Elephas maximus indicus: one gene and its partners. The protein of the gene in region 3 purifies or fractionates together with the protein of the main gene of each other region. This does not show direct contact. Links are inferred from orthologs where the notes say so. Each region holds a gene or a part of one and is shown on either strand. Other genes may lie near its edges. The genes, in order: EIF4B, EIF3F, EIF3B and EIF3D.

Region 1 (7,383 bases), on a different chromosome or scaffold from region 3:
CTACTCTCTATGAGTCAGATTTTTTTTTTTACTCTCTGTATTTGTCTTTGAATTTCCGTAAGGCGTTTTTAGTTTTGGCCTTCTGAATCTAGGTATCCTAGCCTCAGAATAACAAATATATGGTAGAGAATGGGATTTGAAAACAGGTAATAATGCAAACATAATCCAATGGCAATCTCTGAAACTATTTCTCTTTGGATAATCACAGGATAATGCACATATGAAGGATATCATAGGTTAATCAAAGGGAAAATAACTATGAGGGTCAGCACCATATGAAAACAATGGATACCATCCTCTCCCCATAAAAAAAAAAATCAAACAAAATGCCATATTCAATAGCATTTAAGTGTTATGCAAAATGAAAGGGTTGCACATAGGTATGCACACACTTTTGCCAACTTTAGTTTCAAAAAGTGCTAACATGTATCAAACACGTTTGATTCTCTATACCTAAAGTGAGCAGATAAACTATGTTCATTTTATAGATGAGGAAACTGGGACCCAAGAGGTAAATGGTCTGTAACAAATTTACAAAAGTTAAAACAAAATGAAAACCTCAGTTTCAGGGGAGTATTCTTAAGAAGCCAAACAAGGAATCAAGTGGCCTGTCTCAATGTATCAAGTTTCCTAAAAATCCAAGATACCTCCATTTAATAGTAAGCCCTGAAATACTTCCAGTTCTTGAAGTCAACGACGGGTCACACTGGAAATGTGTATTGCTGCGAAGAATTTTCAGTCTCAAAAGAGGCTGATGAAGTTGTATCATGTATTTCCACAGAGGAAATACAAGATCTACTTCCAGCAAAACACTGGTCACCATCAGGAAACACTGAAAATACACTGAGAATTTTACAGCCTCTTTAGTACAGCCAGATCTGGTATTACTGGTTACCCAACAGTCAATTACAGTGTAAAAGATTAAAGGGGAAAAGAAATCTGATAAACCTAAAACTCCCCGAGGACAGACTGTCAGATGTATCCCTGAGCACAGATTCCAGCATAGTGCCCCTTGCACAGACTAAACAAGCTAAATAAGTATCCACTGAATTAAGGAAGTGTTTCCAAGGGGGTAAACTAAACATGGAAAACAGGAGAAGGGGACATCACTGAGCATACCCCTTTAACCAGCCTGGATTTCACTGAACTCATGTGTAAAATGAAGGACACAGATTATATAATTGCTAACAGGTCTTCTACCTGTAATAATTTCACAAAAGTTATGGATAAGGAGAATACTGGCTTTTCACTAAATTATGAGACAGTTAACTGTCAAGATGGCAAACCCAGGCCAAATCGGTATTTGACACAATGATAAGCTTAAAATAAATTTAGGACTGTACCAGTTCAGAGAGAAAAAAAAAAGTACAATTTTTTAAACTTCAGATGAAGCTTTTGGACAGCACACCAAAAAAGGAAGTCAACCTTGGTACTCCCAAGTAGGTGATGGTAATGAGTCAACAGTCTTAGATTTCAGCCTTGCTCTGCCACCTGCAAGCAGTGTGACCTTGAACAAATCATTTCATTGTCCTCGGCTGAGGCATACCACCATCTATCTCACAGAGGACCAAACGAGACAACACACACAGAATTGCTTGGTCAATTGGCAAGTCTACACCAATGAACAGCAATGAAAGATATCATGTTCAACTGCACCTCAACTACCTCGACATTTTCTAAAGATAAGCATAACCCTTAGCCTCGTTTATAAATAATAAAGAAGGTAAAATTCCTGGTGAGAAGTGAGTGTCCAGAGATAGCAGGGGCTCAGTGAATGTTTTGTGGAATGCAGGGTGATGCCAGGGTGAAAAAATTATATTCGTCAAACTAAAATCAATGCTACAAGATGTTGCACAGCTTACTGCTGCACTTCCAAGTCTATCAGAAAGATCTGCATGACAGTGATAACGCCCCCTCAAAAAACAACTCAACTCATTTTAATTGTATCCCTAGTAGTTCTACATCTATAAAAAAAAAAAAAAACTGAACTCTACCACCGGAACTATCAAAAACTCAACGCGAATAGAAGCTTCATAAGAGCAGGGACCTAATCTCGTTCACCACTATCTCCAGTGCCTACCACGGTGCCTTGCACAACGTTTTCGCTCAGTAAAAATTTGACAAGAAAAAAGGCACAGAAGAAAATCTAAGTCCTTAGCCCTGGTTCCGCTCCAACACGTGGGTACACCAGAGTTCCCTACCCCCACCTAACTTTAGTAGCTTCAACCTCCAACCTGACACATGTACCTTTAAGAGTACAAAGCTGGGCCACACTCTTAGAGGAAAAGAGCAGAAAGTGGAAGGACATAAAAAGGGGCAACAGAGGCGCGTAAAGCCTTCCCATTTAGGCACTCGCGCATGCTTTTGAGGAGCGCCTGTCTCCACTACCCTCGTCCCTCCCACCGCGCACGCGCACCACTGCCTCACCCCCGCCCCTCCACTGACACGCGCTCGCGTTCTAACTGCCCCCCCTTTATCCCCCTGCCCCCGCTCCAGTCCGCAACGGCCTCGCGCCTTGGAGACCTAGTCTAGTGTGCGCCGGTCCGCGCGCCAACCGCTCCTTCCTTCCTCCACGTCTTCAAGCGGGCACAGTGTATCACGTCCATGAAAACATCTCGCGCCTCTCGCAGATCCTTCTGCGCCTCCTCGCTCCAACTCAAGCCAGAGCCCACCTTTACCCCCGACTCGAGCCTCGCGCAGACCGGGTGAAAAGGCTGTGAGGGGGAGGGGAAGGGCACCTTCCCCTCCCCCCTAAACATCCCGAGACAATAATGTAAGATGGCCAAGCCACCAGCCTGCCGCAGCCCCCAAATCCTAAGGGAAGCAGTGCCGCCCACCTCCCGATTCCAGGTAGTCAGTGGATCAGGTTGGTAGAGTGGTTTAGGAGCCCGGTCTTTCGCCGCGCTCGGCCGCTCACTCACCTGAGGCCGCCATGTTGGGAGAGGGAGAGAGAACGCAAAGGACCCGGATGAGGCAATCACGTGATTATAGCGGGCGCGTCGGCCTAGGAGACGCGAAACTGGGAGGGGGCGGGGAGGTAAGGAGGGAGACCGGAGGCGGGGCGGCGCTGCTCCAGGTTCGTAAAGCAGCGCGAGGAGGTGGGGCTGCGTCCGACGGGAAGACCTGCGCGACATGAGGCCGGAGGGGTGGGGCTTGGGCTGTCGCGAAATTCCTTACGCTTTACGTAGGACTACGCGCGGACGAGAGGCGGGTTCTCATGGTCCGCAGACTTCCTGCGGGTGCGTTAGGCGGAACAGGCGTGTTCGTATTTGCTGGCTGCACTAATAGGGATAGAATCAAGGCGGGCTAGAACCTAGAATGGGTGTGCCGTAATTGATTTTCTGGGACGGATACTTTTTGTAAAAGCGAAACAAGTTCACAATCCTGCCTAAAAATGCTGTAAATAAACGTGCTTAAAAGAAATTAGGTTAATAAATACTGAACATTATTTGCCATGGATTTTTACCTTGTTTAATCCTCACAATTTTCTGATTAGGTTTAGTCAAACCCGGTTTTCTATGATTTCATAGCCGAGTGCTACCCATGTTTTCGCTAGCTAATGCTCCATTTTGTCATATATTAATATTTCAGTCCATGACAATTTTTGTTGAGCACCTACTCTGTGCCAGGCATTGTTAAAGACATTTGCAGGTACAAGAGAGAACAAAACTGACCAGATCCCTACCCTCAAGTAGGTTATATTCCAGAGAGGGAAAGACAGACAATAAGCAAATTAATAAATAAAGTATTAGAAATGATAAGGACTCTGGAGGTAATTAAAATAAGTGATGTAATAAAAATGACTGAGTGGGTGCAACTCTAGAATGTGGCTAGATAAGACCTCCTGAGAAGCGACATTTAAGCAGAGATCTGAATCACAAGCAGCTTAGCCCTGCGAACGTATTCAGGGAGAGTTTTAGGGGAAGGAGAGGATGTGCAGTTACATCAAAGGCCAGGGTAGGAACACCTTGCCAATTTGATGAATTTAAAGGCTAGTAGCATCCCAACGATCATGGAGATGGACGTGCAACTATTTGTTTTGATATCTGTAAGGTTATGAGTCAGAGCCAACTCGAAGGCAGCTAACAAAAACAGTAAGAGAGTGGTACGAGATGAAGTTTGAGAGATAGGCAGGAGTTGGGTCAAGTGCGGCTTTGTAAACCAGGAGGTGGTTGGGAAAGCATGGAATGATTTTTTTTTTTTTTAATTAAGGTAAAACACATGTAACATAAAGTTTGCCATTTTAACCATTTTTAAGTACAATTCAGTGGCATTAATTATATTCATAATGCTGTGCAACCATCACTGCTATTTCCAAAGCTTTTTCATCATCCCAAACAGAAACTCTGTATCCATTAAGCAATAACTCCTCCTTCACCCCTCAGCTTCCCCAGTCCCTGGCAACTACTAATCTACTTTCTGTCTCTATGCATTTGTCGATTCTAGTTATTTTATATTTGTCCTTTTGTGCCTGGCTTATTTCACTTAGCATAATATCTTCAAGATTCATCCATGTCGTAGCATATATCAGAACTTCATTTCTTCATAACTGAATAATATTCCTTTTTGTTTGTTTTGTTTATCAAGCACGGAATGATTTTAAGCAGGAGAAAGCCACGACTTGAAATAATTTTTTAAAAAAGATTATTTAGTACCTTCATATGGGTAGCGGTTATATGAATGTATAACTGTAAAAATGCATCAGATTGTACACTTAAGATTTTTGGACCTTAGTGTATGGAAGTCATACTTTAATTAAAAAAAGAAAAAAGAGAATACTGAGGTTGCTGAATGGAGAGTAGATTAGACAGATGGAATAATGAAAGAGAAAGACCCTAGAAGTATTGTGGGTCTTAGGCATTACGCCTAATGAATAAGTTGGCCCTTAGTGGATAAATTGCTGTGAGAGAAGATGGTGGTTTAGATGTGAATGTGGAGATGGAAAAGGATGGATGCAGATATATTTCGGAAGTAGACTTGATGATTGATTAGATGTGAGAGTCAAGGGAGAGGGAGCTATCAAAGTTAACTTCCAAGTTTTTGGCATGAACTCTGTCTTAGTTATCTGGTGCTGCTCTAACAGAAATACCACAAGTGGGAGGCTTTAACAAAGAGAAATTTATTCTCTCACAGTCTGTGAAGCTAGAAGTCCAAATTCAGGGTGCCAGCTCCAGGGAAAGGCTTTCTCTTTCTATCGGCTCTGGGCGAAGGTCCTTGTCATCAATCTTCCCTTGGTCTAGGAGCTTCTCAGTGCAGGGACCCCAGGTCTGAAGGATGCTGTCCCCTCCTGGTTCTTCATTATTGGTGGCCTGAGGTCCTCCACTCTCTCTGCTCAATTCTCTCTTTTATATTTCAAAAGAAGTTGACACAAGACATAACCTAATCTTGTAGATTGAGTCCTGTCTCCTTAACATAACTGCCGCTAATCCTGCCTCATTAACATCATAGAGATAAGGTTTACAACACATAGGAAAATGACATCAGGTGACAAAATTATGGTCAATCACACTATTCTGGGAATCATAGCCTAGCTAAGTTGACACACATTTTGGGGGGAAATAATTCAATCCATAACAACCTGGGTGATGCTGTTTACTCACATGGTGAAGCCTATCATGGAGCAGGTTTAGAGGGGGTATGTGGGCTCTATTTTGGCCATGTGAAGTTTGAAATAGGTGGCACAAATGGTTAAGTGCTTGGCTACTAACCTAAAGGTTGGCAGTTCAAATCCACCCAGGAGTGCCTCACAAGAAAGGCCTGGTGATCTACTTCCAAAACATCACAGCCATTGAAAACCCTATGGAGCACAATTCTACTCTGACATACATGGGGTTGTGACAAGTTGGAACTGTATGGACAGCAACTAGTTTGCTCAAACTTTAATGTGCTTATAAATCACCTGAGGAATGTGTTAAAAGTCACATTCCAATTCAGCAGGGCTGAGGTGATGAGGCCTGAGATTCTATATTTCTAACAAGCTTCCAGGTGATGCAGATGGTGCCAGTCTGAGGACCACAGTTTGAATAGCAGAGTACTGGACAACCGTAGGGGCCCTGGTGGCACAGTGGTTAAAAGCTCGGCTGCTAACCAAAAGATTGGCAGTTTGAATCCACCAGTTGCTCCTTGGAAACCCTATGGGGCAGTTCTGCTCTATCCTATAAGGTCGCTATGAGTCGGAATCGACTCGACGGCAAAGGGTTTTGGTTTGGGGACAACCATGTGGTGATGTCAAGTAGGTGATCTGGAGTTCCTGAAAGAGACCAAGTCTGGAAATAGGAATTCGGGAGCCATCTTAGTTACCTGGAGCCCTGGTGATGCACTGGTTAAGAGCTCAGCTGCTAACCAAAAGGTCGGCAGTTCGAATCTACCAGCTGCTCCTTGGAAACCCAATGGGGCGGTTCTGCTCTGTCCTGTAGAGTCACTATGAGTCGGAATTGGCTCAGCGGCAAAGGGTTCGATTTTGGTTTGATCTCAGTTACCTAGTCCTGCTATAACAGAAATACCATAGTCGGTGACTTTAACAAACAGAAATTTTATTCTCTCACAGTTTAGGAGGCTAGAAGTCTGAATTCAGAGCATCATGGGGGAAGGTCCTTGTCTCTTTTCAACTTCTGTTTCTTGGCTCCGTGGTGATCTTTATGTGGCAGGGCATCTATCTTCCCCCATCTCTGCTTGCTTCTCTGTGCCTAATCTGTTCTTTTTATATCTCAAAGGTGATTGGCTTAAAACACACCCTAAACTGATATGCCCTCTTAACACAGCAAAGAAAACACAGCCCCTTATAATCACAGATATAAAAAAGAAACCAAACCCGTTGCTCTCTAGTCCTCCAACTCATAGGGACACTATAGGACAGAGTAGAACTGCCCTATATGATGTCCAAGACTATAATCTTTACAGATGCAGACTGCCACATTTTCCTCCCGTGGACGGGCTGGTGGATTCAAACCGCCGACCTTTTGGTTAGCAGCCGAGCGCTTAACCACTGTTCAACCAGGGCTCCTCAGCCACAGCTATAGGGGTTAGGATTTACAACACATATTTTGGGAGGACACATAATAGGAGTCATCAGCATATAAATGGCATGATATTTCAAGCAATCTATATAACCTATACAAAATAATTTGAGAAGCTGGACTGTGTGAAGAACGCAGCATTAGGGCTGGTGGAAGAGTCATTCACAACCTGCAGTGTGCAGATGACACAACCTTGCTTTATGAAAATGAAGAGCACTTGAAATACTTACTGATGAAGATCAAAGACCACAGCCTTCAGTATGGATTACACCTTAACATAAAAACAAAAACCCTCACAACTGGACCAATAAGCAACATCATGATAAATGGAGAAAAGATTGAAGTTGTCAAGAATTTCATTTTACTT
Region 2 (7,952 bases), on a different chromosome or scaffold from region 3:
TTGTTTCCATCTTTTTGGGAACATTATTCCATCTATTGCAAATAATACTGCAATAAACACAGGTGTGCATAAAGCTATTTGTGTGATGGCTCTTAACACTCTAGTGTTTCACACTTCTTATATTTGCTGGAATGCCCAGCTCAAAATCCATCTTTTCTGTAAATCCTTTCCCAACCTTCCAAGATAGTCTCCTGTACTTCCACAGCACTTCGAACACCCTTCTATCAGATCACTCATCACGTTACATTCTTATTATTTGTATATAAGACTATTTGTCCATCTTAAGTTTAAGGTTAGAGTACAGCTCATTTTCTCAAACTTTGAATTCTAAGTATCTAACAGTTTCCAGTACTCAAAAGGCACTCGTAACTTCACTTAAACAAATGAAATATGTTTCTTGAATGAACGTGTACCTGGGAAAATTCCAAGTTTCTTACAGGCAGGATCTATGCTTTGTCCTTGTATAAGCACTGCCCCTATAACACTTTGTGCTATACCGCGATCTCCATCTGGAAGGGGACCTTCCAGAGGATTGCTGTGATATTTGGGGCACTAAGCATAAACCAGGAAGCCCTGGTGATGCAACAGTGAAAGCACTTGGCTGCTAACCAAAAGGTTCGAATCCACCAGCTACTCCATGGAAGAAACATGTGGCAGTCTGCTTCCACAAAGATTTCAGCCTTAGAAACTCTGTGGGGCAGTTCTACTCTGCCCTATAGGGTTGCTATGAGTCAGAATCAACTTGACGGCAATTTTTTTTTTTAAGCATAAACTTTGGTTAAATAGTTCCACAAAGTTCAGAAACCTTGACAGTGTAGCTGAAGGAGTAAGTCAGTGTTTGTTGACTACCAAATCAGTGATGCAAAAATCATTTGTTACAGGACCTCAAAGCAGGGCACAGTCAAAGAATGTGCTCATGGTTAGAGAGGTTAAGAATGGGCTGAGGATGTGGTATGAGGTGGAGGACTGGTACTGGACATTTGCCCTGGGAACCTGGCAGATGGGTACAACTTTAAAAAACAACTGAGGCACAGCAGGGATGGCATTTCTGACAAGGAGAATATAAACGTAAAGGCTTGGTTTGAGAAAAGCCATAGCTATGTTTGGAAGCCAATTGTTTAGTTTCTGTAAATACCAAGTGCTACACCCACAAAGATAAAAAGGAGAACTTGTGTGTGTGTGCTTTGGTGGTGCAGTGGGTGGTTTGAACCCACCACCCACCCTACGGGAGAAAAATGTGGCAGTCTGCTTCCACAGCCTTGGAAACTCTATGGGGCAGTTCTACTATTCTACAGGGTTGCTATGAGTTGGAATGGACTCGCTGGCAATGAGTTCAGGCCTGATTTGGTAAAGCTGTTTTGCATCTAATGTATACCAGAACTGAGTTAGATGCTTTCTGTAATAACTTAGTTCTCACAAACACTAAGTCTAAAGTAGCCCTCAAAAGAACTAACTTTGGGTAATTTGCCTCAAGGCACATGGCTAACATTTGGTGGTGTCTGCATACAAATCTTGTCCTCACACCTTAGAAGACAATGTATTGTCTTCTAAGGTGTAAGGACTACTACATTTTCAAGAGTAAGAAAGAGAAATGATGCACGGGACTGGAGTGGGTCCGCAAAGATGTCTAAAGCCTGCGATAAAATGGAGTGAAAATCAATCTCGTGGGACCAGTAGTCCCCAAAGAAAGACATTTATTATTAACAATACATCTTCAGTGATTTTAAGTTTTAAAATGACTTTAACATAAAACATCTATTCTCCAAACTTGGAACACGGGCAGGGAAAAGACTATTCTTTGATTTGAAGGTCAGAGTCAATCATAAACAGATTAATACAATGGTTTTTATCCAAATAGAGAATCAGAGACAGCATTGGGAAAACGGTTTATCATATCAGAGATGGTGTTGAGGCAGACTCAGGGTTTAGGAAGACAGAATACTATAAAACCTTCAACAGGCTCCAGCCAAACTGGTTTACTTGTTAGGAAGAGTATCTTTTTATAGATGCCTCCACTCCTTGGCCAGCTGGTTAGAAACTTCTTTGTAAAAATTTGGAAAATAGAGACATTTAGACAGTGGATTAAAAAAAAAAAAAGCCGTTGTTATTAAGTCGGTTCCGATTTATAACGACCCTACAGAACAGAGAATTGCCCACTGGGTTTCCAAGGAGCGGCTGGTGGATTCGAACTGCTGATCTTTTGGTTTAACGAACGTTTAACCACTGCGTCACCAGGGCTCCAGTCAGTGGTAAAGGAGGGAAACTTGGTCACTGTGCTTAGGGAATCAAGAGTCCTAGTTCCAACTTAATCACTTGCCAGTCGGCATATGAGCATATAAGCTCACTTTTGGTAGAATGGAGGTTATCATACTTGACGTGAAATGGTGTTGGAAATAAAATGTAAATCACTTGGTACCCAATATTTATCAGTAAATAATAACTATCTATTATATGTGAGATGCAGAAACAAGCAAAAAGTGGGGGTGGGAGGAGGGGGCAGCAGGACGCCAGAGACGAAAGGGTTATGAGAAGGGGGAGCGATACATGGGAGGTGGGCGGTAGGAAAAAAGAACGTCGGTATTATCTCACCACTCACCCAGCAGGGTCCCGATTACTCGGGCAGCGCCCTCATTGCGTCGCTCATAGCTGTCCACGATGGAGGCTAAAATGACCGGGTGTAGCCGGACCACGCGGCCGCCGGGGAAGGGCCCTGGGAGAGCTGGACCAGGCGGCGGCGGCGGCGCCGAGGTCTGCGCTGGGGCTTGCACTGAGGCCGAGCTCTGCGCCGAGGCCGAGGTTGTAGCCGCTGCTGACGCCGGGTCTGAGGATGAGGCGGGGGCAGAAGCAGGAGCCGGGACCGGTGCGGAAGCGGGAGCCGGAGCCGGAGCCGGAGCAGCGGCTGGACTTGGGGCTGGGGCTGGGGCTGGAGCCGACTCCGTAGCCGGTGCTGGGGATGGAGTGGCGGGAGGAGCACTCGTTGGTGAAGGCGGTGTGGCCATCTTGTCGAAAGAGAAGAAGCCAAGAGCGGAAAGGAGTGACTTAGTGAATTTTACGACTTTGATAGGCTAAATATGCACCACGTGAACTGTATCTTTCCACCTATTGGTTACTGATGGTGCTTCTCGGGGCACGAAAATTTCCTGCTCTGTTTGTAATTTCTTCCGGAGTTTGTGTGACTGCTTTCGGTCCGATGAGCACGTCATAAGAACCACGGTAAATAGTTCCGGGTAAATTTAAGACCGCGCTGGGAGATTAAAAATAACTCCACTCAGTTTGCCCATGTGCCGCCAGGTGGAGCCAGAGAGCAGCGCAAGGTCGCAGTTCGTGTTTTCATTCTTAAATGGGAAAATGGATGTCAAAGTTCCATTAATAGGGCTTTGTTCTTGACCAGATCATAAAGTGTCAATAGGGTGGTTCATTCTTTCAACAATTTGAGTGCCTACTATGTTTCAAACGCTCTTTTAGGGGCTTTGGATTTATCAGTGGACAAAGATCCTTGAATAGCTTACATTCTAGCATGGAAAAAAAAACTCAAAAAGGAAGATAAATAACTAATGCAGTTGTTGTTAGGTGCCCTTAGGGGTCAGCTTTCTCACTCTGTCGGCTCCAGAGGAAGATTTCTTGTCATCAATCTTCTCCTGGTCAAGGAGCTTCTCAGGCACAGGGACCCCATGTCCAAAGGATGTGCCCTGCTCCTGTTGCTGCTTTCTTGGTAATATGAGGTCCCCAGCTCTCTGCTTGCTTCCCTTTCTTTTTATCTCTTGAGAGATAAAAGGGGCCACACCCCAGGGAAACTCCCTTTACCTTGGATCAGGGAGGTGACCTGATTAAGGCTGGTATTACAATCCCACCCTAATCCTCTCAACATAAAATTACAATCACAAAGTGGAGGACAACCACACAATACTGGGAATCATGGCCTAACCAAGTTGATACACACATTTTTGGGGGGTCATAATTCAATCCATGACAGGCATGTCTACTTTGTCCTGTAGGGTCACTATGAGTCAGAGTTGACTCGATGGCTACAGATTTGGTTTGGGGTTTTATTATCATTACTATAACTATGGGGAGGAACCCTGGTCCTAGCTTTCTGTGTGACTTTGGACAAGCTTCAATTTTTTTTTTTTTTCAGAGCCTCAGTTCCTTTCTGGTATAATGGGGATGATAGCTCGGCTGCTAACCAAAAAGTCAGCAGCTTGAATCCACCAGCCCATTCTTGGAAATCCTATGGGGCAGTTCTGCTTGGTCCTGTAGGGTCGCTGTGAGTCGGAATCGACTCGATGTTAACCGGTTTGGTTTGGAACATCTGTCTATACCGAAACCTGTAAACTCCTAAGTTAGGTTAAGTCCCAGCTAATCCAGCTGGCAAGGTGGGTGGATGAGGTTGGATTTCCTACCTCTGACTTTTATGCCCAAGACTCGCTTTCCCCTTGAGGTTACCATCCGTAATTAGAATTGTTATACCTGCTTCTGTCATGCTCTGTGTCAACACACATTCCTTCTCTGAATTCCCCAAAACACAGGTTAATAGCCCACCAGAGGTGGACTGAAAAGTGGCTTTTGTTTTTGATAACCTGATGTCTTTAGCAACCCCAGTAGAAAACTGGTCAGTGGAATTGGGTGGGAGGGGGACATATAAACCAGAATTCAGGTGTGAAAGAATGGTGAGTTTGAGGTGAAGGGTGTGTGTGCTGGCTATCTTTTCAAGGAAGTTGCCTGGGAAGAAAAAGAGACATTTAAGGAACAGCAGGGTTGAGAGGGGACAATTGAGGCCAGAAGAGTTTTAAGTGTACTTTAAATTGCAGGTAAAGATCTGAAAGAAAGAGAAAGATTGAATATATAAGAGTCAGCGGCAATATCTAATGAAATAAGGGAGGAAGGAGGGCCTGGATTGAGAAGCCTTGATGAGTGGGATGGCTTTACAAAGGATGAGGGGCATGCAGGAGAGGCTGCCCTGGCCTGTTGGCCTCTCTTATGGTGCCTAGTGGCGGGGGGTGGGGGGGTGGGGGGGTGGGGGGGGAGGGGATCTACCTAGGCCAGGGCTGGTTCCCTGACATCATCTCATGGGTCAAGGCCAGAGGAGACAACCAGCCCAAATGAGGTGTTACTGCCCCAAACTGAGCACTCACACCCGTGGGACCGCCTGTCAACGAGTTCATTTGACTTGGATGTGGATACTTCACCTTCAAGAACTCACTTTTGCCTTTATATCAATGACCATAGGACCTTTCTCTCTGGAGGGGGAAGGAGATGATGAAGAATCAGATAAATTTTGAGCTGGGGAGAGCAGAGAAGTAGTGGGGGGCTCCTCTCAAATGCCATCCCCCCCCTCCCAGGGAAGTGGAAGCAAGGTGATCTATTGAGAATGGCAATGCCAGAGCAGGGTTTAGGCTTGGAGGAATGGGCAGTGTTTGGAAGACGGGCTGAGGGTGAGCCATTAAAAGCCATACAAGGCATTGACGATTATGGGAGGGCTGCTGAGCCTGGAGAGCTCAAGTTGTACAAGGACCAGCTGGCCGACTTTCGTGATTTCTTTCCAGCAGCCATGTAGCCCAGGGGCAGGAGGAGATCATTGGCATTGTCTTTCCACAGGAGACAATTGGCAAGGATCAGGGAGTGTGTAGACACAGGCTACTGGCTTTCCAATGGCTGAGTGAGGGATCCAGGAAGGCTGCTCCCTGTGAACTGAAAGCTTGGGAGCCTCAAATTTTTCAGGTAAAGGGTGGAAGGAGTGGGGAGAGAGAACAATGGACTATCCCCCTTTTATATAGAATGTGTTGTACAGGGATTGCTCTAGGTTTCTGGTTGCTTGGGTACACGCTTAATGGTTCTGCCTGAAAAGACCAGGGTCATACTGCCTGCCTCATGATAAGACTGCGGCCTGTAGCTTGATAAACTTATCCCATCCTCTAGATCACTAACTGAAGTGAAAGGAGCTGGAGCTACAGCTCAGATTAAGGGAGGACAACAAGGGAGAGCCCCAGGCTATCTCAAGTCTGTAGCAAGCGAGAAAAACAAACAAACCTATTGCCGTCCAGTCGATTCTGACTTATAGTGACCTTATAGTCAGTTCTACAGTGCAGAACTGCCCCAAAGGGTTTCCAAGACTATAACCTTCACAGAGGCAGGCTACTACATCTTTCTCCTGCGGAGCAGTTGGTGGGTTCAAACTCCCTACCTTTAGGTTAGCAGCCAAATGCTTAACCACTTCGCCACCAGGGCTCTTTCGACAATAGCTGTTGGGGCCTAATTTGGGGAAGCTTTCCTCCTGAGAAAGTTTGCTTGATTTTTTTTCTGACGGGATTGGGGTGGCAGTGAGGTCATTTCAGGCTTTTTGGAAGATTTTGACTTAGAAATGGTGGTCATGCTTAGCTTCCCCATGCTTTTTAATGCTAATTGACTTTTAAAACTCTAAGCATGTTTGATAAAATAAAAGTTCAACAAAGAAAGAATGCGGCTAAGGAAGTAGAGGTAACACGTATAGACAAATCTTGCCAAAGCATGGCAGTAGAGAGGGAATGAGGTGACATGAGAAATGCAGGGTCAAGAGAAGGTTTCCTTTGTTTGAACATGGGAGGGAGTAGAATATATTTGAATGCTGTGGAAAGAGATCCAATAAAGGTGACACAGAGAGTAATTCCCTGCTCCAACCTTTCCCACTACCCACTAGTCCCTCTTCCCTGAGGGTGACTTCTCAGAAATCTACTTTAGATTTCTTTTCTTACATCTTTCCATTTCTAAACAGTGTATGTATACTGCTACCTTTTGATTAACCAGTTTTAGGTGTTATCTAGGGACTGCCTATTCCAGCCCACAAGCATTTAACTCTTCCATCACCATCCTTTCAATATGGTTATGTTACCATTTTAGTTAGATTGATACTCAGTGGTTACATCATTATTCCTATGTAAACATTATTCACACCTGAGTATTGTCATTTACTATTATGTTTCCTTTCGTTTTGCTTTTCTCAGAGTTAGTAATTCCTTATTTTAGTTCCATTTGTCTAGTTTTGTTGGTGTTACCATAAATCACAGATTCGAGCGGCCTGCTGCAAAGCCAATACTGAGACAGGAGGGAGGTCAACAGCAAGAGGGCTTTACTGAATACCGGTATCCAAGAAACAGAGGGGATAGTTTACTCCTAAATTCTGTCTGTCTCGAAAGAGACAGCTGGGCGGTTTTATAGGGAAAGAAAAGCTAAGTCCAAGGAATCTGGAGAATTTTTAATTCCCCTTTGAGGTGGTCTTGCAAATCACCTTCCAGACGTGATGATCTTTTCCAGGTATTCTTAGGGTCCCTTCTGGAGTCATTGAAGTTTGGTCTTCTAACATCACTGTCTTCTGACTCCTCGGTTCCCAGATCCTATCACTTGTTTTTCATGTTGAGAGAGAACACGCAGGTTAATCTTAAGCCTATACAGTGCTGAGAGAGAACAATCAGAAAAGAATCGCAAGGCGTGCTATAGCTCACAGGGGTTTCATCAGTTCCCGTAAACATTAACTTTTCTACCATCTGGATGTTCAAGCAATATTTTCCCACTTCATTGGCACTTATTGCCAGTTTTTCCCACAGTCTTCCAATAGCTCTAGTACAATTTTTCGGGTCAATCATAATAGTTGATCTATGAATCCTTTTCTTTTTTTCCCCCTTGGAGATATTCTTTCTGGAGAAATCCATTCCCTGTCAGAGACTTCAGAGCTCTCAGCTCTCTAGACGAGCTGCCTTCTAGGACTGTTTTTTCCTTGTTTGGATTCCTATTTCATGGATCTTGAGTCTTCCTCCTTCTTTTGTTCTGGTGGAGGGCATCCTCCAGTAGTTTCAACAACTTAAAGATATGGTGCAAAGGCAAAAGTGGTCCATTTTCTTTGGAGTTTCTTTTCCTCTCTAGACAAATTTCCCAGTCTGGACTGCAATTGTAGAAGAGAGCTAGGGTCTTCAGAGAGAGAG
Region 3 (7,461 bases):
AGCAATCTACTCCACCTCAGGACACGTAACCTTTGGGTAAAGGGTTTGGACTTGATAAGCAGCTCCCATGCCTTCACTAGTTTGTCATGTCTTTCCTGCTTTTTGAGGTAGAATGTCTTTTACCTTGTGAAAAAAAGCATAACAAAATAAACGGTGACAGTAGCCCTTTAAGAAAACACTTAAATGAAGAGTTGACAACTCTATGCCAGCGTCCTAAATTTTCCTCTTCCTTTCACTTGTTAGGAATCTATGTAATTCTGACTCAATCTATGTGATTGCCAGCACAATACCACACAAAAAAATCTATGTATGTTAATGTGCTAACATCTAGTTTTCTTGGTGTATGTATCAGTGGCTACTTCTACAGCCACTACTTTACCATAAACTAGTCAACACGTAGAGGGATCCATTGGTGAGCTTGGAGAGTTAAAACGGCAAAAAAAAAAAAAGAGCAAACCAAAAACTAATGTAATCAGCTATCAACAACTCTCAGGCAGCAGAAATAAAGCCTGTAAACCTGATCAAGGTAGAAACCACCGGAAAGCAAGCTATAGCTGCTTGTTGTTGGGAGCCGCTGAGTCCATTTCAACTCACAGCGACTCCATGTGACAGCAGAATTGCCCCATAGGGTTTTCTAGGCTGTAATTTTTTTTTTTAATTTTTATTGTGCTTTCAGCGAAATTTTACAAATCAAGTCAGTCTCTCATACAAAAATTGATATATACCTCGATACATACTCCTAGTCGTTCTCCCAATGAGACAACACACTCCTTCTCTTGACTATCTCCATGTCCATTCAGCCAGCTTCTGTTCCCCTCTGCCTTCTCATCTCCCCTCCTGACAGGAGCTGCCCACACAGTCTCATGTGTCTACCTGATCCAAGAAGCTCACTCCTCACCAGTATCATTTTCTATCCCATAGTCCAGTCCGATCCGTAACTGAAGAGTTAGCTTTGGGAATGGTTCCTGTCTTGGGCCAACAGAAGGTCTGGTGAGCATGACCTCCGGGGTCCTTCTAGTCTCAGTCAAACCATTAAGTCTGGTCTTTTTACAAGAATTTGGGTTCTGCATCCCACTGCTCTGCTGCTCCTTCAGGGGTTCTCTGTTGTGTTCCCCGTCAGGGCAAGTCATTCGCTGTAGTGGGCACCATCTAGTTCTTCTAGTCTCAGGCTCATGTAGTCTCTGGTTTATGTGGCCCTTTCTGTCTCTGGGGGTCATAATTACCTTGTGTCTTTGGTGTCCTTCATTCTCCTTTGCTCCAGGTGGGTTGAGACCAATTGATGCATCTTAGATGGCCGCCTGCTAGCGTTTAAGACCCCAGATGCCACTCTCCAAAGTGGGGTGCAGAATGTTTTCTTAGTAGACTTTATGATGCCAATTGACCTAGATGTCCCCTGAAACCATGGTCCCCAAACCCCCGCCCCGCTATGCTGGCCTTCGAAGCATTCAGTTTATTCAGGAAACTTCTTTGCTTTTGGTTTAGTCCAGGTGTGCTGACCTCTCCCGTATTGTGTGCTGTCTTTCCCTACACCTAAAATAGTTCCTGTCTCCTATCTAATTGGTGAATACCCCTCTCCCTCCCTCCTTCACCTGTAATCTTTGAGGTAGCAGATCACCAAGCCTTTTTCCTGCAGAGCAGCTGCTTTGGTTCAAATTTGAGAAATAACCTCCCAACACAAGAACGGTGGCTTGCCTGACACATTTAGGAAAAAAAGTAACCACAACGGGAATTTGGCAAGGTCTGCCTTGCACTATCCTGCGCAGGAAATCTCCAGTCAGAAAACCAGTGGAACAGGGACACACCAATCCAGCTCTGCCACAACCTGCACTTCCCAGTCCTGCGGGGAAATATCCGCAGCCACCTCTACAAGTCAAAACCTGTGTCAGCCCTAGGACACCTGGACCAGCAACCCTGAGGTCTTGCCCTTGGACCATGGGAAGTCAGTCCAGGAGACCAATCCAGGAGAGTCCTACTTGGCTCTGCCCCCAATGGCTACACATCAGTGTGCACTGACATAGCCTCCTGTGTAGGTACAGTCTGACAGCCGCCCACCACCGCGATCCTGGATTTTTGGCTGTAATGCAAATAATAGGTTCCCTTCTTTAGGGACCCCTGTATCATTCTGACATATTCTTAACCCCAAAGAAAGCGATAGTAGGCTCTCCTAGAAAAATTCCACTACGCACTGGTGGCAACAGTTGGGAGACAGTGCCACCTCCCTCGCATTTCTACAGAGCCTGGAACTTGGGCACAGGCACATCACATGTCACCGAAACTTGTCATCTAAAGTCAATCTCCAACACTAGCTCCCTGACCCTTCTCGGTTAAAAAGCCTCCTTTCTCTACGTCGGCCACAGGTCAGGGAAGGACAGCGGGCCGGGGACGCACCTTCCTCGCTCACGTCGTCCACGAAGTCCTCGGGGTCGCTGAAGGAGGGTTCGTCCGCGTCACCGTTCTCCAACGCGCGTGGCTCTGCCTCCGCCGAGTCCCCCTTGTCCTCACCCGCCTCTTTCGACGACTCCTGTGGCCGACTCTCGGCGGCCTCGGCTCGGGACTCCTCCCGAACCGGGGACTGGGGCTCCTCCCCGGACGGCGGCAAGGGGGACTGGGACGAACCCGCCGGATAGCTGGGGACCGCGCCCGCTGACTCCGTCTCCTTCTCCGCGGCCGCCGGCTCTGCCTTCGCTTTAAGCTCGGGCTCGGCCGCCACCACCGCCTCCTTCTTGGCCTCGGTCACCGAGTCCGCCGCCCCCGGAGCCCCTGGCCCCGCGGGCCGCAGCGGCTCCTCCTCCGGCGGCGGCTCGGCGGCGGGCTGCTGCGCCCCCGGCTCGGTCTGCTCCTCGGCCGCTCCGGGCGCCGCCACGTTCTCCGCGTCCTGCATGGGCCCAGGCGCAGCCTCCCTCACCTCAGGGTCCGCAGCCGCCGCGCTTCCGACTCTCCCAGGCCGCACCGCGCGTTCGCCGGCGCCTACTCTCTAACCATGTGCGATCGACCCGGGCAGGTCCGCACCACCGCGCCCACTGCGGGGGGGGCTTCCATGCCTTGACCCCGCCTGACGTGCTGGGAACCACCCAAGCTCGGAAGTGTGCCTATCAACTGTCTGAATAACATTTTTACATCAAGTAACTATTCAATTCCAATCCACTAAGTTTTCTTCCTCATTAGGTAAACTCATTAGGAGCTATAACCACCCCCGTTTGTGGTAGCGGATTGGTTTCACCCAATATGGCAGCCAGCCCTTCCTGCTCCCATCAAGCGCTTCGGTGAAGGACGGAACTACTTGTGGCGCCGAAGGGAGGTCTCAGAAATGATCTTTCTATGCGGAATTATGTGTAAATATAGTTTGACTCAAAAATTAATACTAGAGAAAGCCATAAGTTCAACCAACGATTTGGTGTGATAGCCTAGCTTTTAACCGGACAAACCATTTAGCTTATATTACGAAACTCCCCTTTACATACTGGTTTTTAGTTTCGCCTACTGACTGGGCAAAAGAGCCGACGATTCCAAAATGAAATAAAATATGGTGTTAACAAGAAGCAGCCAAAACTACCAGAAAGAATATTTCCCGGCCCAATACAAAAATTTGAGAGTTGCTTTACTCGCTTACGCCCAGCTGCACTTGTAGCGGCCGTAACACTGCTCTTTACCCATTCTGGCTTTCACGATGGTTCGGTCCGCAAGAAACTATCGCTCTCCGACCCGGGAGCGGGTCACGTGGTTCAGGGGGGTGTGGCCAGAGAAGTCAAGAGACACGTGAGGCGGGAGGAAGACGCAGAAGGTCTGAGCAACGACGTGGAGACAGGAGGGGCGGAGTTTGCGACAAGGGTGGCTCAGGTATTTATCCACAGACTCGAGGCCAACCACTGATGTTTTCATCATACAAGAGTTGTGCAGTTGCGTAATACTGGGTTCGATTCCTCCTCCTGTCAACTGTAACCTTGGGAGAATCTCTGAGCCTCTGTGCCTCAGTTTCCTCACCTGCAAAGTGAGGGGTGAGTGGCTCTTGGAACCTTTTCGAGCTGTACTCCTGCAGAAGGTGAATGAGTTTCACTAAAGACCAAAAGAATCTTCTAAATTTCTAGTTTCGTTTGCAGTTTTCTTAAATCATTGCCAACCGTTTTCTTCTAGAAAGTGCTAAAAGGTGATAAACCAGTGAACAAGGAGGTTGTAGTTTATAGTTTGGCACCTAGGTGTTTCTCAGATAGGAAAGACTTCTATGGCATGCTTCTATTGCAGAACTAGAAAAAAAGTCAGTTTTCATTAAGTTGATTCTGACTCCTGGCAACCCCATGTGGGTCATAGTAGAACTGGGCTCCATAAGGTTTGCAGTGATTGATATTTTGGAAGTAGATCGTCAGGCCTTTCTTCCGAGGCACCTCTGGGTGGACTTGAACCTCAAACCTTTCCTTTAGCAGCAGAGCGTGTTGATAAGTTTGCACCACCCAGGGACTCCTTGTAGCAGAGTAGCAACTCATGACTCTTCCAGTGAGTGAATTTGTCATTTTCTTTTCTGCAGGGAAAGTTATGAACACTGTCATGATGCAATAAAAAGTATTTATTATCTCTTAGTATTCTAGAGGGGAGTCCTGGTGGTCTGGTGGTTAAGAGCTAGGCTGCTAACCAAAAGTTCAGGAGTTTGAACCCACCAACTGCTCCTTGGAAACCCAATGAGCAGTTCTTCTCTGTCCTACAGAGTCACTATGAATCAGAATCGACTCAATGGCAACAGGTAGGATTTGGGTAGTGTTCTAGAGGAGCCCTGGTGGCATAGTAGTTTAGCGCCACAGCTGCTAACCAAAAGGTCGGCAGTTTCAATCCACCAGCCACTCCTTGGAAACCCCATGGAGGCAGTTCTTCTCTGTCCTGTAGGGTCAGTATGAGTTAGAGTCGACTCATTGCCAATGGGAGAATTCTGGAAAGGAGCCCTGGCGGTGCAGTGTTTAAGCGCTTGGCTGCTAACTGAAAGGTTGGCGGTTTGAACCCACCAGCCGTCCGAGGAAGAAAGATGTGCCAGTCCACTTTCATCAAGATTATAGCCTTGCGTCTGGGGTCTTAAACACTAGCAAGCGGCCACCTAAGATGCGTGCATCAATTGGTCTCAACCCACCTGGATCAAAGCAGAATGAAGAACACCAAGGGCACAAGGTGATTACTAGCCCAAGAGACAGAAAGGGCCACGTAAACCATTGGCTACATCAGCCAGAGACCAGAAGAGCTAAATGGTGCCTGGCTACAACCGATGACTCCCCTGACAGGGAGCACAACAGAGAACCCAAGGGAGCAGGAGAGCAGTGGGATGCAGACCCCAAATTCTCATAAAAAGACCAGACTTAATGGTCTGACTGAGACTAGAAGGACCCCAATGGTCATGGCCCCCAGACCTTCTGTTGGCCCAAGATAGGAACCATTCCCAAAGCCAACTCTTCAGACAGGGATTGGACTGGAGGGTTGGAGAGGGATGCTGGTAAGGAGTGAGCTTCTTGGATCAGGTGGACACTTGAGACTATTTTGGCATCTCCTCCCTGGAGGGGAGGTGAGAGGGTAGAGGGGGTTAGAAGCTGGCTAAACGGACACGAAAATAGGGAGTAGAGGGAGCAAGTGGGTTGTCTCATTAGGGGGAGAGCAATTGGGAGTATGTAGCAAGGTGTACATGGGTTTTTGTGTGAGAAACTGACTTGATTTGTAAACTTTCACTTAAAGTGCAAAAAAAAAAAAAAAATAGCCTTGGGAGCCCTATGAGACAGTTCTACTCTGTCCTATAGGGTTGCTATGAACTAGAATCGACTCGACGATGGCAGGTTTAGTGCACTAGAGAGAGCATCAAGACCATCAGCAGTTGCACCACCCTCAAAAGTGAAAAGCACTGCAATTGCTATTCAAATTATGTAAGCGCCTGCTCTGTGTTGGTTATGCAGTGGTGGGTAAAGTGTGCTGTGTTAGAAGTACAGCTCTGTAATGGGAGCAACGTTCATTAATTAAAGCATCACAGAAGTGCAAAAATATGCCTGTGATTTAAAAAAAATAATTGTCAAGGCGACTCCAACTCAGGGTGACGCTATGTGTATCAGACTGATCTTTCAAAGTAGATCACCACGCCTTTATTCAGAGGGGCCTTCAGGTGGCTGGACTCCAACCGCCAACCTTCTGGTTAGCAGCTGAGCTTGTTAACCGTTTGCACCATTCAGGGACTCCACATCTGTGATAAATTCATGAAATTTTTGACACTCCTCCCTTCAAAAGGTAAAGCCTAATTCTGCTTTTAATGTGGATAGACAGTGACCAGCTTCTAATGAACAGAATGTGGCAAAAGTGATGCTAAGTGACTTCCAAGTCTAGGTCATAAAAACGACAAGCTTCTAGCTGGCTGGCTGGCTGTCTCTCGGATCACTGGCAATGAAGGAAGCTGGCCAGCATGTTCTGAGGGCACTCAAACAGTCTGTGGAGAAGCCCACATGTGGAGGAACTGAGGCAGCCAACCAACAGTCAACACCAAATTGCCAGGTGTGTGAAAGAGCTACCTTGGAAACAGATCCTGCAGTCCTGGTTAAGCCATTAGATGACTGCAACCTCATGAGAAATCTTGGGCCAGAAATACCCACCTAGGCCACTTGCAAATTTCTCACTTGCAGAAACCACAAGATTATAAATGTTTTTTATTTTAAACCCTAAATTTTGGGGTAATTTGTTGTACAGCAATGGGCAACTAATAAAATGGATTTATATATGATAACTTGTGTAGTTCCTAAAACATACTGTTAAGTTTCATAAAGATTAGGTTGCATATTGATATATACAGCAGAATACCGATTAAGAAAAATGCACAAAGTTATGTTATAGATATTACATGGGTAATATAGATAAAAATGTAAAATATGTAGAAAAAGACCTGGAAGGATGCACACGAAACTGAAAGCAGTAATTGATGAAAGTGAGTGAAATTGGTGGTGTTTTTCACAGAAAAAGTTAATTATAGGATCTAGGTGGGGTGTTTGTATGTTGACTATAAAATTAAACTTTTCTGTGTGGTTGAAAATTTTTATAATAAAATGTTGGTGGGGGGAGGATTCCAGTCAGTGTCAGAAGACCCCCCACTGAGGCAATTTGTGCCTTAAAAAGTATTTTTATACTGCAATTGATTGAAATATAAAATGTTGGAGTCTGTGAGTTCATAATGCTGGGGGGAAAAAACTCTTGTTCATCATGGTTGGATATTGTTGGAACATCTCATTCTAAAAGTAAATAAAAATGCAAGCAAAAAAATTTATCTTGCCTTTCTTATCTTGCCCTTACGTTTCAGGGTAAGCAATAGTTGGTGAGGGAAAGTTTTTGTTTTATAAAAGAATTCTAACCAATTATTCTGGAAGGAGCAATAAGGTTGGAAAACCAGCATTTCGTAGTGCTAATGAAGTAAAGGATCTGAGCAATGGTCCTGAACGACTTTTGCATCTGTTATGTGTC
Region 4 (6,967 bases), on a different chromosome or scaffold from region 3:
GACCCAGAAACCCCTGAAAAAGTTACAGGAGGAAACAGTGTGATAAAGTCTCAGAAGAACTGGATCACAATGCCTTTGTAAGTACGCAGCTCTCCTGTGACTACTTCCAGAGGTCAGAGCCTTTCTCAGCTGGTATCACTATAAGGAACGCAGGGGTTATGCTTTTGAGAGAATAAAATGCAAACAGGAACTCCTGGGGAGTAACAGCCACAGCTTGAAAGACGCAGAGTCCTGCTGACAGGCAAGTACCTTTCCTAGCCGGTCTCCTTTGCTGAACGGCTGGTAGGGCATATCCCGAAACTGCTCGGGAACTGCACACGGGCCCCAGCCTGAGGGATTATCTTGGATCACGGGTGTCATGAACTTCGCCATCTTCTAAAACCTTAAAGACACAAATAAGGTGAGTAGCTGCGGGAAGAAAGGCCTCACAGTACAAAAAGTCCTCCATTTGAGGTAGGCCCAGACAGAAATGATAAAAATTCAAAAAGCAACACACAAAATGCAACTCTGAACTACTGAGCTACTGACGAGATGCTTTCTTATAAGTGACACTGTGAATAAAGCTCATTAGATTGATAACCAAATTGATTCACTGTATTTCATTAGTTCTGTGACACTTTTTCAGCTGTGACATCTTTGAAATGAAGCTACAACTTATGTTTGATGGTGTACCACAGCTTAATTGGCAGTTTTTCTCGGCGTTACATAAGATAATGGTGCTTCTTAACATCAGTGTGTCTCACAAATTTGATGAAATCTGGTAACCCTTCTGCAACTGTAATAACCACATTCTGTTCTTAGAAGCCCCTTAACCCAGGCATACGATTCCTCCCTAAGCCCCCGTCTCCCCATCTGTAAAATAAATAGAATCCTTGCTTTATCTTGTACTACGAGATCACCGTGGAAGTCCTGGTCAACACACATGAAAATGCCTCCTTTGTAAAATGCCACATAATTACTACCCAGCCTTGCAAAATACATTTATGCCCAAAGAGTGGTGAGAAAAAAGAATCCGTAAGTTATGTCAGAAAATTTGACTTTCCTTTCTTGTTCTTCCAATTTTCTATCACCAATGCAAATCCTGTGTGCAGAGCAAGTGGACATAGCCAGGCAAAGGCCTGCCAGAAGGCTGATGTCACCATAAACCTTAGGCCAAAAGCTACCATACATCAAATATTATGGATACCAGGTACTGTTTTCAGTGCTAACCATATATGAATTCGCTAAATCCTCCCAACAATCCTGTGAGGTGGGGACCAGTATTATTTCCACTTTCAGATAATAAAACTGAGGCACAGTGAAGTTAAGAAATTACCCAAAGTCTCAATGGTAGTTGATAAGGAATTTGAATCCAGGCAGTCTGGCTCCAGAGTCCACTCTCTGCACAACGCTTTAACTCCTCTCAGGAGTATATGAGCCTGGGGTTCCAACGCAGATGCTTGCCTGACAGTCCCTACCAAAAATTATGTGTTTACCATCCATTTCAGCACTCTGAAAGTGCTCACAACCTTCGTTCCCTGAGAAAAACTCATGACACAAGCATTTCCTGGAAGCTGAAGAGCAAATCGAAAAGCAGAGATATACTGAACTCAGTAAACTCTCCTCATTGTCCAAAATGGGGAGATTGAGGCTTCCTACAGAGATGACACTAGAATGATAGCAACAGGGAATGAACCTAGGAGCTTCATCCTCCAACTCTGAACTTAAGCTATGCTAGCAAAGAGGACAGAGGGAAGGGGCGGTAATCTCAACAATTCACATTCAATAAATATCTATTGAGCTGTATGTACGAGGCGGAAACCCTGGTAGCATAGTGGTTAAGAGCTACAGCTGCTAACCCAAAGGTCAGCAGTTTGAATCCACCAGGTGCTCCTCGGAAACCGTGTGGGGCAGTTCTATTTTGCCCAATAGGGTCGCTATGAGTCCGAATCGACTCGATGGCAACGGGTTCGGGTTTTGGATGGACGAGGCATCATACTAGATACTTTAACACCACTACCTCCCTCCCGATTTTAGAGATAAAAATCTGAACCTCAGCCACATCAAGCGGTTGACCTGTCCATGGTTTCTGAACTGATTCGATTTACAGGGCAGTCTGCCGTAAGTCCGACACTCTCTTCATCCCATTAGAGCTGGGCGGCAGTCTGAAAAACTCTGGGACTTTCAGACCATACTTAACAACGCAATAAGAATGTCTGCAAATACACTGTTCTTTCAGTTTAGTCGTTCTGTAAGAAGCTCAAGAAGGAAACCGGCCCAAGGCTTGACATGCACTTTTCCAGCCCAAGTAAAACAGAGCGAGCAGAATGGAACCAGTAGGGGAAATGGAGTCGTTCGGGGAAAATGGACAGTGACAGCTGTACTGGCCACAGTGTTGTGTAGATATTGTCGAGGCCATCGCAGATCGCACCCATCAACCCCTGGGCGAAGAGAGACTTCCGATCAGGTCAATTCTCCATCCTAACCTCTCATGTCAAAGAAAAGGAAAAGAAACATTTGAGCTGCGCATTCCTCAGGGCAGGGGTCGAACATCGCTCAGCTTACCACCCTCAATAACCCACTCGTAGAAAAAACTCAGGAAGCCTCCAGCCACTTTAGAAACACCTTGAGACCCAGCTGAGTTAAGTGACAACCAAATACGCTTAAACCGTGGCCAAGAAGCGAGCTTAAAGCCAGAGACTTCACCAACTGGGCCGGATCCCGCACCCCAAGGGGTGCTGGGCTCGGAGCCTCCAAAAGTGGCTCTCTGCCCCGCCCGGCTGAGGAACCGCGGCAGCAGGAGGGCACGTACAGGAGGTCTCTTCCGGGAGGCCCCTGAAGGCAGGATCCAGCCCAACCGGCTCCGGAAGCCCTCAGGACCCCACACAACACGCCGCTCACCTGCAACGGCCTCGGCCCTCCCCGATGGCGGGAGATGGTCGGGGCAAGAAACGCGAGTCACCAGAAGCACTCGGAGAACAGGGAAAAGGGAGAACATGCGCGCGCAGCAGCCGGCGCCGTAAACACGACCGGCGCTGTCGTAAACTGCTCGCCAGCTTCTTCCGAGTTCGGTGGTAAGACGCACGAGCCGTAAAGCTAAGGTAACCCGGAAAGTCGTTACTGCTCTTTGCGAGGTGTGAGCCGAAGCCTCCCAGACTTCAAGACGCAAGAGGTGTGATTATAGTTACGTCAGGCAGCACTGAAACGTAGCGGCCGTGCAATCGAGGCTGGGGGCCGGGAGAGGCTGAGATCCACTCAGTATCCCAGAATGCTTCACGGGACCCTTCCGCCCCTCTGTATCCCACAATGACCCGCGGCTCCCCCGCTCTCTTTAACCAATCATGTCATTTGATTCTTACAGCAAGGGGTGGGGCGAGTGTTTTAGGCCCGGTTCGTAATTATCACCGGTTTCCTTTTTACAGTAATTAGCACCCGTTTCCTTTTTACAGTAGCGGAAGCTGACGTGTAAAATGACCTGCTTAGTTTAGAGTGCTAGTTTAGGAGTGTCTACCAGTGTCCAAATCCTACTTAAAAACTATTCAAACTTGACTGTACGGCAAAGATTACTGGAGCTCTACTTTAAAAGAATGCAGATTACGAATCTCGCTCCCACAGATAGTTATTCAAATCTGCCTAAAGAGGAGTCCAGGAATTTGCATTTAAATTGGCAACTGTGCTTCTGAAGTGGGGGGACTCAGAACCACTTTGCTACGTTGGGCAACAATGCTGTCCTCTCTGCAACTCTCGGCGTAGGGATTTTCTCCTGGAGTCTTTACCGGAGAAATTTCAAAACTTTGATCAGAAGGAGCACCAGAAAATCGAACCTGTTGTGGACGAGTCAATTCCGGTGTGATTTACTCAGTCAGATCCTTTTCTACTTGGTCTCCTAGGTTTCCTTCGTCTCCCAGCCTGTCTCCTTTATTGGAAAATACATCTATTATTAGACAAATCTGGGATCTAGTTTGGACTCTGCCATTTTCTGGCGGAGTGGTGTCACCTCTCTGGCCCTCAGTTTCCATATCTGGCAGTGTCAGAGCTTCTCTGCTAGCCAAAAGGTCAGCAATTCGAATCCACCGGCCCCTCCTTGGAAACCCTTTGGAGCAGTTCTACTCTGCCCTGTAGGGGCGCTATGAGTAGGAAACGACTCCAGGGCAACAGGTTTTTTTTTTTGTGTGTGTGATTGTAAAAATAAAGAATGTATGTTATAACAAAGAAGCCCTTTGCCATAGAGCCGATTCCGACTCATTGCGACCCTATAGGACAAGAGTAGAACTGCCCTGTAGGGTTTCCAAGGGGGGCTGGTGGATTCCAACTGCTGACCTGCTGGTTAGCAGACAAACCCTTTAACCATTGCACCACCAGGGTTCCGTGTATGTTAAAGTACTTAGTAATTCCTTTTAAATTCCGTTTAAAGTACTTAGTAATTCCGTGTTTACCCATGTCCATGGATGAACACGGACAGATTATTCAACCTCTTTAAACCTACTTACTCATCTGTAAAATGAGAATGTTAATAGCACCTTCTTCCATAAGATCTCTTTCAATTGGCTCATTTTTCAGTTTTCCTTAAAAATTTTTTTTAACAACAATGAAAACACGTCCACCTCAGCAGGGCCTCTGCACTTGTGTTCCTTCTGCATGACACACTCTTCTCCCACATCTACTCATAGTTGGCTTGGTCCCATCATCCAAATCTCTGCTGAAGAGTTATCTCCTCAAAGAGGTCTTCCTAAAATAGTTCCTTCTCTCTCCATCCCTCCTTGCCTTCTTACCCTGCTTTGTTTTTTTCATAGTTCTCATCACTACCTGGAATATTATTTGTTTCTTTGTGTAGAGTTTGTCTCCCCCTCTAGAGTGTAAGCTCCATGAAGATAGGAGCTTTGTCTACCTAGAACATTACATATTTGTTGACGTGTTGAATGAATGGATAGAGGTTTTGTGAGAATTACATGAAAAAATGAATTCAGCACATTACTCTAGCACATAGATAAGCAGTCAATAAATGTTATTGTTGTGTGCTATGGAGTTGATTCTGACTCATGGTAACCCTATAGGACAGAGTAGAACTGCCTCATATGGTTTCCAAGGCTATAATCTTTATGGGAGCAGGTCTTTTCTCCCATGGAACCACTAGGTGGGTTCAAACCACCAACCTTTTGGTTAGCAGCTGAATGCTTAACCATTGCACCGCAGTGGCTCCTTCAGTAAATGTTCCCAAAACCCAGTGCTGTCAAGTCAATTCTGACTGATAGCGACCCTATAGGACAGAGTAGAGCTGCCCCATAGAGTTTCCAAGGAGCACCTGGAGGATTCAAACTGCTGACCCTTTGGCTGGCAACTGTAGCACTTAACCACTACGCCACCAGGGTTTCCGTCAATAAATGTTAGTGTAATTAATATCCATAATAAATTGTCCTTGTTCTAAACCATAAGGGAAAATGTATTTTTGCTGAACTGCTTTGATCATGGACTCACAGGCCATCTGCTGCATCCTCCCTCCATGACTCATGTCAGAGAACTGAATCATCTTTCCCAGATTTCGGCCTAGACATCCTTGCCCACCCAGATGGAGATGGATTTGGACTGTCCAGTCTCATTCCTAATAGTGGGTCCCTGGGCTTAGGTGGGAGATCTTGCTTCCATTCCTCCTCCCAACTGACACCCCTGTTGCCATTTTCCTGCTATCTGCTGTCCATTCTCCATGCAGCAGCAGAATGCCCCTGCTTTACACTAAGTCAGCACATGCTCACCCCACCCCTACCCTTAAAACCCTTTAGATGCTTACCGTTACCCTGAGGATAAAATCCTAAACTCCATTCCATAGTCTGCCAGTTGCTGTCATGTTGATCCTGACTCTCGGTGACCCCACGTGTGTCAGAATAGAACTGTGCTCTATAGGGTTTGCGATGGCTGATTTTTCGGTCGTAGGTCACAAGGGCTTTCTTCTAAGGCACCTCTGGGTGAACTCCAACCTCCAACCTTTAGGTTAGCAGCCTAGCTTTTAACCGTTGACACCACCCAGGGAGTCCCCTGAGGGGGAAGGAATGGCAGAATCCAGGAGCTGAAATGAATGTGGGTAGACCGGAAAAGACTAGTGCCAACTCAAAGAAGATGACCAAAGCAACGCAAGAGGGAAGGAGCATCTTTGCCCCGGTAGACTGCAGGCTATGAGAGGGTGGAGGTGCTCAGGTGGGGCAGAGAAGGTAGAGTAGAGGGAACTTGTGGACATGAAGGGAGGCCTATAAAAGGCCAAAAAGCACCCAAAATAGGAGGGTGGAACTGAGCAGGGGATGGTGGCGGGGGGAGGTGCCAATGACAGTTGTTCCCAGACTGGAGGAGGAGAGAAGAGCAATTTTGGAGATGGCCATTTTGTTAGACTTCTGACACAAAAAAAGGCATGAGGGAGTGGGGGGTGTGGGACACCAAGAAATAGACAAAGGAACTGGAAACGCTGACCAGAAAAGAGTCCCAAGAAGGCACAGTAGCATTAACAGAGTAGTGAGCTCCCTGGCACTGGGGACATCCAAGAGAAGGTGATGGCAACCAGCCAGAGGTGTGACAAGGAGATTCCTCTCCAGAGTGAATGCTGGACTGGATGGCCAAGAGGTTCCCTTCCCATCCCAGCATGCGAGAACTCATCCTTCCCTCCTTGGAAGGGCACGTGTGGGAACAAAAAAGGCTGTTCCTGACGCAGGGCTATTTCCCCAGCAGGACACCCCCCCCCGCCCCCCACCAGGTCTACCCTGGTCAAAAACCCACTGCCGTTGAGTCGATTTCTGACTCATAGTGACCCTATAGAACAGAGTAGAACTGCCCCATAGAGTTTCCAAGGAGTGCCTGGTGGATTTGAACTGCTGACATCTTGGTTTGCAGCCATAGCACTCAACCACTACGCCACCAGGGTTTTCCTACCCTGGCCAGCTCCCTCTAATCCTCCAGTCTTGGCTCAGGTGTCACCTCCTCTTCCATCACCTCCACTTCCACAGAA

Evidence for each region.
Region 1: the proteins of EIF3B (region 3) and EIF4B purify together in Homo sapiens (affinity purification with mass spectrometry; 3 studies listed by BioGRID and IntAct, with this or other methods). This does not show direct contact. The link is inferred for Elephas maximus indicus from reciprocal best matches to the Homo sapiens genes EIF3B and EIF4B.
Region 2: the proteins of EIF3B (region 3) and EIF3F purify together in Homo sapiens (affinity purification with mass spectrometry; 14 studies listed by BioGRID and IntAct, counting the BioPlex papers as one, with this or other methods). This does not show direct contact. The link is inferred for Elephas maximus indicus from reciprocal best matches to the Homo sapiens genes EIF3B and EIF3F.
Region 4: the proteins of EIF3B (region 3) and EIF3D purify together in Homo sapiens (affinity purification with mass spectrometry; 10 studies listed by BioGRID and IntAct, with this or other methods). This does not show direct contact. The link is inferred for Elephas maximus indicus from reciprocal best matches to the Homo sapiens genes EIF3B and EIF3D.

Annotation. Positions count from the first base shown.
Region 1 is NC_064822.1:108,528,831-108,536,213, reverse strand, and holds the start of EIF4B (eukaryotic translation initiation factor 4B), read right to left. Parts: upstream 3,017-7,383; 5' UTR 2,935-3,016; coding exon 2,922-2,934; intron 1-2,921. UniProt on the Homo sapiens protein: Required for the binding of mRNA to ribosomes. Functions in close association with EIF4-F and EIF4-A. Binds near the 5'-terminal cap of mRNA in presence of EIF-4F and ATP.
Region 2 is NC_064825.1:63,220,073-63,228,024, reverse strand, and holds the start of EIF3F (eukaryotic translation initiation factor 3 subunit F), read right to left. Parts: upstream 3,018-7,952; 5' UTR 3,000-3,017; coding exon 2,597-2,999; intron 1-2,596. UniProt on the Homo sapiens protein: Component of the eukaryotic translation initiation factor 3 (eIF-3) complex, which is required for several steps in the initiation of protein synthesis.
Region 3 is NC_064830.1:96,692,074-96,699,534, reverse strand, and holds the start of EIF3B (eukaryotic translation initiation factor 3 subunit B), read right to left. Parts: upstream 3,003-7,461; 5' UTR 2,882-3,002; coding exon 2,389-2,881; intron 1-2,388.
Region 4 is NC_064822.1:180,151,253-180,158,219, forward strand, and holds the start of EIF3D (eukaryotic translation initiation factor 3 subunit D), read right to left. Parts: upstream 3,017-6,967; 5' UTR 2,881-3,016; intron 383-2,880; 5' UTR 373-382; coding exon 250-372; intron 1-249. UniProt on the Homo sapiens protein: mRNA cap-binding component of the eukaryotic translation initiation factor 3 (eIF-3) complex, a complex required for several steps in the initiation of protein synthesis of a specialized repertoire of mRNAs.